Ovis aries: one gene and its partner. The main gene of each other region encodes a partner of the protein of the gene in region 2 in a complex. Links are inferred from orthologs where the notes say so. Each region holds a gene or a part of one and is shown on either strand. Other genes may lie near its edges.

Evidence for each region.
Region 1: TOX4 (region 2) and WDR82 share a complex: the UniProt entries of both Homo sapiens proteins name them as parts of the PNUTS-PP1 phosphatase complex. The link is inferred for Ovis aries from reciprocal best matches to the Homo sapiens genes TOX4 and WDR82.

The regions. Positions count from the first base shown.
Region 1 is NC_056072.1:48,701,378-48,705,128, reverse strand, and holds the start of WDR82 (WD repeat-containing protein 82), read right to left. Parts: upstream 2,825-3,751; 5' UTR 2,533-2,824; coding exon 2,372-2,532; intron 1-2,371. UniProt on the Homo sapiens protein: Regulatory component of the SET1/COMPASS complex implicated in the tethering of this complex to transcriptional start sites of active genes.
Region 2 is NC_056060.1:24,025,696-24,028,433, reverse strand, and holds the end of TOX4 (TOX high mobility group box family member 4), read left to right. Parts: intron 1-410; coding exon 411-574; intron 575-1,222; coding exon 1,223-1,283; 3' UTR 1,284-2,139; downstream 2,140-2,738. Other genes in the region: METTL3 (N6-adenosine-methyltransferase catalytic subunit), read right to left, coding at 2,596-2,707. UniProt on the Homo sapiens protein: Transcription factor that modulates cell fate reprogramming from the somatic state to the pluripotent and neuronal fate. In liver, controls the expression of hormone-regulated gluconeogenic genes such as G6PC1 and PCK1.

The DNA.
Region 1 (3,751 bases), on a different chromosome or scaffold from region 2:
CCCAAAATCACTCAGTGGATGAACTCCATTATAAAGAAAGTGTCAATGAACAGTAAACAGAGAAAATATTAAGCACAAAGAATTTTGTTTTAGCTATTTTCAAACTCCCAACATTAGTACCATCTAATACAGATACTGCTTTCCAAGGAAATCTTACTTTTCTTCCAATGTTGGTTTGACCTACACTAGTGGCAAATTTTTTTCTTCATGTTATCACTTAGGATCATGGACTCCTTGAGGCTAGAGAAGAGATCTGACCAATGTCACATACCGAGTCACAAAGCCAAACTAGAACCCAGTCTATCAGATCACTCTCTTATCACAGATCACGGTGAAACAAGGTCACAATTCACATGAGAATCTTTTAAAGAATGTGCTATATACTACTGTGTCAATATTACATCTCTAATTTGGATAACTGTAATCTGGTTACATAAGAAAAAGTCCTTGTGCTTAGGATATCCATGTTGAAGTGTTTAGGATAAAGGGGCTTGATACCTCTATATTACTATCTAATGGTTCAGGGAAAAAAATGCATATATATATATATATACACACACACACCTGTATATACATACACACACACACATATATATACATATACATATGTAAATATAAACATTTACATAGAAATGACAAAACAGAGCAAAACATAACTAATTATTGGATCCTGGGAGTTCTTGTAAACAATGGTGTAACTTTTCTGCCAAGTTTGTAATTATGTAAAAATGCTACATGAATGAATGAACTGAATTATGTCATAAAATTAATATTTTACTTATAACAAGAAGGACTTCCAGTTAATGTCATTTCTACTAAGGGGTGGAAATTATGCCATATTTGGAGACAAACTTTGAAGAAATGCTTCCATGATTTTCATTTTCTTTGAATGAAGATACACACCTCCATCCTCAAGTTCCAGGAAGAGGTTCTAATCTGTGCACAAGCACTAAGCATTTCAAGCAAATCAGCTTAAAAATTTCTTCCAGCTCCAGGACCCCACAACCTCTATCTCCACCCTAGCTTTATACATGACTCTAATCCACGTTAATGCAAGTGGCCAGACTTGGACAGAAATGAATAACATTGACTCACATCACCACTCAGCATTGGTCCAGCTAACAATTCTCTTCCCCCAGGACCACCACTATAGGCCACTCTTCCACATACTGCAGGCAGATCCAAAGCCAGTTACATAATACTTTTTCACAGTCCAAACAGGAAAAAATTGGGGAGAACAATAGAGTTCAGACCATTACCTCAAATGACCAAATTCAGAAATGAAGAGACAAGTTCTGAAAGAAAGTTTATAGAAGACATCAGTTTAAACAAAACGGACAAAAGGAACAGCTGGAGAAGGTAAAGAAAAATCCAAGGATTCAAAAAGGAGCTCACAATTTAGCAGGGACATGAAGAAAGCAAGTCTGGGGCAGAGCTGAGGAAAAAGGGATAAAAGGGGGGAACTGGCAAAATGCTGTGCTTTTAAGATTCTGCAGAGATACAGATGTGTTGGGTCTCCAGAGGACTTGGGACAACCTAGAAATGTCATGATCAGACTTAGAACTGTGGTTAAGTCCTAATCGACTGTAAGGTGTAATTTTAAAAAACAAGCCTAAGAAGAAACACGAAATTGTTACATGATATTTTCTTTGTTCTATTAGGAGGTTCACATTCAGGTCGGGATGGGACGGCCAGGTTCGTCCGTGTCTGGCAAAAAGGAAAAGTTTCAGATGCTGTTAAAAAGTTAACTATAAACGTAGGAACCGGGACTGAGGGAGGAAGAGAATGATTTGCAACAGAAAGGAAAAGACAAGGGGCCCAAAGAGGCACAACAAATCAATCCTGACAGGTAACAACTGCAACCCACGCGGCCTTCCGGCAAAAACACGGCGGGAAGCTGAGGGGCAGGGGACCGGCGATGGGCCAGGACTGAATCGAGGTCACCGAGCAGAGGGCAGAGGGAGCTGCCTCTGCTGAATGAGGCAGCCGAGCAGCCTCCGCGGTTCTGCAAGGGGGCCACAGCCGACGGGCACCGAGGACGAAGCCCGCCTAACGGAAAAGCTACCAGCTGGGGCCGCGGTGGGCGGACCCGGCGTTTAAAGGTCAAGGTCAAGGTGGGGTTTGGCCAGAGATGCAAAAACGGTCTAAAAGGAGACCGAAGGAAGACAAGACTATTGTTATCGCCATCGTTATTAAGAAAAAAACGGTCTCCCAGACGGCTTCGGAGGGGACGCGGCCCTGGCAGGACCGTGTGCAAAACAGGCCGCGGGGCCGGGCCCGGGCAGAGAGCGGGCCGCGGGGCGAGCGCAGGGCCACGACGCGGAGGGCGGGCGGGACTCAGACCCGGGCCCAAGGCCACCGCCGCACTCACTTGCCCTCCTGGCAGTCATAGAGCACGATGGAGTCGTCGTCGCTGCTGGAGATGACCGTCTCGCCGTTGGGGCTGAAGTCGAAGCAGTTGATCTTGTCAGAGTTTTCGCGGAACACCTTGGCGACGCGGAAGCTTCGCAGCACGCTGTCGGTCAGCTTCATGGCGGCGGCTGCCTGAGGCGGCGGCGGCGGCGGCGCAGGGCCAGGGCGGGGCCCGGGGAACGGGCGGGCTGCCGAGGGGCCGACCGGGGCGGGGCGGGCGCCGCGCCGGCGGCGGGCGGGAGAGCGGCCGGCAGTCGGGACGCCTCCTCCTCTTTCTCCTCCTGCTTAAGCAACACTCTTCTGCCCGGACTGTGGGGCCTTGCCGACCGTTCAGCCTCACGGTCGCCTCAGGGCCAACCGGCGCGACGCCGGCTCATTGTGTCCGCCATCTTGGGACGACAGGCAGAAGCCCAGGGCGAGGAACCTCACCGCGGAGCCAGCCGGGAAAAGGGGCGGGGCGGTAACGGCGGCGCGAGGCGAGGAGGCGGGGCGGTGACGTCAGCGCTGCCGGCAGGGAGTGGCGTGGCTGGGTGGCCCCAAGAGGCAATTCCCAGACCTGCTGCGGGGGCGGGAGGGGAAGGGACTCCCACGTCCTTACCCCTTGGATTCCAAGGCCCCGCGTGACCCGGAGCCTCAGGCCTGTGTGCGGGCTCGCCACCGCTAAGAGACTCAGGCGCCCCCTGCAGGAACCCCGGCCGCAGGCCCAGGGACAGCAGGTACTGCGGAGGTGGGCTACGCCCCAGGAGGCCTGTTCTGGGTGTGAGTCAACGCTGGTGGCTTTTGACCGTTGGTCCGCAACAGACAGAGCCAGATTTCAATTTCTGTATTTTTTTTATTAAGGTGTACTATACGTTAGATGGAGAAGGCAGTGGCACCCCGCTCCAGTACTCTTGCCTGGAAAATCCCATGGATGGAGGAACCTGGTAGGCTGCAGTCCATGCCAAGGGTCGGACACGACTGAGCGACTTCCCTTTGAGTTTTCACTTTCATGCACTGAAGAAGGAAATGGCAACCCACTCCAGTGTTCTGCCTGGAGAATCCCAGGGACGGGGGAGCCTGGTGGGCTGCCGTCTATGAGGTCGCACAGAGTCAGACACGACTGAAGTGACTTAGCAGCAGCCTACATTAGATTGCATAAATTTTAAGTGGATGAATTTTCTTTTCATTTGGTTGTACCTTCTTGTGACTACCACCCACAACTTTTCTTTAAGCCTTCTTTGAAAGCGTTGTAGGGCTTCCCTGGTGGCTCAGTAGTAAAGAATCTGTCTACTAGTGCAGGAGACACAGGTTCGATCCCTAGTTTGGGAGGATGTCACATGCTGCAGAGTGGCCTATGCTC
Region 2 (2,738 bases):
GGGGGGGGGGAACCCACCCTGCAAAATCAGGAACTATGGATCTTGAAAGTTTATCTTCTCTTAGTCCCTCTGATCTTAGTGACCCAACCTCTATTCACATTCTACTTTTGAATTGATATTTTCAGAGGAATATTATTTAAGTGTAGAATAAAGTTAGTGATAGGTTAAGATTAAACACTACCATTATGACCAGCATTCCCCTGATGGGAAGCATCATGTCAGTCTGGATGACAAAATTCTAAAGCTGGATTTGGAGTGAGATCAAGAATTCACGTTTCTTTGGAACTTTACCCCTACCTGTGAGGGACTGTAACATGTGTTGCTCCACTGGATCACAGAGTTAATTTGACTAGCTGGCTGGCTGGCTAGGTAGAAATCTAGTCCATCTTGATGCTCTCTTCCTCTCATAGGTTGAGTCTCCTTCTCAAATGGATGTTGAATTGGTGACTGGGTCTCCCGTGACACTTTCACCCCAGCCTCGATGTGTGAGGTCTGGCTGTGAAAACCCTCCCGTTGTGAGTAAGGACTGGGACAATGAGTACTGCAGCAATGAGTGCGTGGTGAAGCACTGCAGGTGAGCTTACAGTTCCCTTCTTATAATTAATGTATGGCTAAATTAACTCTTGGAATAACATGGTATCTGAGCATATAATCAGTATCACCTTACCTTAGGTAGAATAGGTTGCTATGTATGTCTGATTACAGAAGCTACTAGAAAAGTTTCCCTCCTTAAAAAGAGCTTACATTTGCCATATAGACAAAGATGACATAATTAGCAGTTCACACTTTTCAGTTACCATGTTAGCTCTACGTGTTCATTTTGAAACTATGACACATCAAGCTGTTGGTGTCTATGAATATCAGTATAGTTTATCTCCTTAGTGCAAACCAGACCACTTAGGTAATGAATTAGAATTTGAGGATGGATAGGTGGTTAAGTAGCACAATAAAATGCTAAGTATAGGGCAAAGGGAAGAAGTTCTGAAGATTCTGCCCATTTCCCCAGTTTTCCTGAGATTGACCTACATTCATGAAATAAGGCATTGGTATTTCCTATCTGAAATCCTTTAAATTAGGACTGCCTATACTTCTGACTTCTAGGCCTACTGCCCTTATATTCCTATTTAGGTGATATCTATCAACCTATTTGTTTAAGACTGAGTTTTAAAAAAACATACCTAGGCTGTAATTCTAAGTTTGTGTGTATCTTTTTCTTTCTTAGGGATGTCTTCTTGGCCTGGGTAGCCTCTAGAAACTCAAACACAGTGGTGTTTGTGAAATAGTACATCTGTTCTCCAAGCCAGTGAAGACTTACTGATGGGAACATGTCCACCGAGCCTATTTTAAAAAGACAAGCGAGGCTTCTGGTAGTGCCTGATCTCAACCCATGATGATCCTTTATGTCTTTCACCTTTCTCCCCTTCTGTCGCTCTTCTACAGAGCTATGGAGCAGGGCCACTGGGTTTGCTGCAATCTGGAATTGCTTTTTACTTTCAAGTACAAGCAGATATATCAGTGATAATAACAGGAAAGGGTGAAGGGAATATAAACAAGTAGAACATAGGGGTGATGGATGGGTGGGGGATTGTTTGAGGAAACTTGTTGGTATAATTGTCGTAGGATTTACCTAAAAGATTATTAAAATGATAGAGTACTCAGCTTTGAGTCTAGGAAAAAAACATCACTGTGTGCATCCCTTCTAAAGGGGCTAAAAGGTTGCATTAAAGGTTACCTCTTAGAGAACTATTACTGTCACATCTGTACATTCATTATTAGTTTGAGAACAAAGGTTTTCAACACAGTAATAATAAGCACACTGGACTGTAGAGAAAATAACATCACCTAGGAGCTTCTTATTTCTCTGCCATTATATTTCTGTACTCAACTTTCTGATTGTATCACAGTTTGAGTGTAAAAGGGAGAACTCGACATCCTTAATATAAGAGGTTTCACCTAAGAGGTTTCACCAAAGTTTAAAGAAAGTGTGTTCACTTGTGTTTGATGAAATATCTTTTAAAAAAATAGGCCGAAGTGTTCTCACTTATACAGGCTAATTCTCTGCATACCCTAGGCACTTATTTAATGTAAGATGTGCTTATTTCATTTTTCTTGGAATTAAATGAATGAAAAACTAACAAAGCCACAGTTGTAACAGAATAAGCAACTATTTAAAACGTGACAGCTCTAGTGATGATAATCTTAAGTGATACTCAGATCTTACCTTGAGAAATGTCCCAGAGAACCCTTTCTTATCATGTTTATAATACTTAACTGCTGATCAAATCAACATTTTAATGCTTTCCACACATTCATTTAGTTTGAAGCTTTATAGCAACCCAATAAGGCAGGTAACATTTCCCAGTTACCTAACATTCCCAGTTACGTTCCCAGTTTACATTTATAAGCAATCATACTAAGTTGAGTTACACAAGATCACACACTCTTAAGTGGCAGAGCCAGAACTTGACCTCGAAATCCCAACTACAATACAAACTTTTATTTAAATAAGGGGGGAAAAAAGCTATTGTACAAACATTACTCTTCAGGTACAGCCTGTAGAGCCATGGCTATGGATGCTTAGGTTCAGAAGTACTTCTATAGATTCTTAGGTTTAGAGATGATACCATCTGGATATCTTTGCTTGAACCGGGCAACCACATCTGGGTCTAGTAGGTGGATCCCATCCAATTGGTTTCCAAGGGTGATCCTGAAGCAAGGGGAAAGACGGGGCAAGCCAA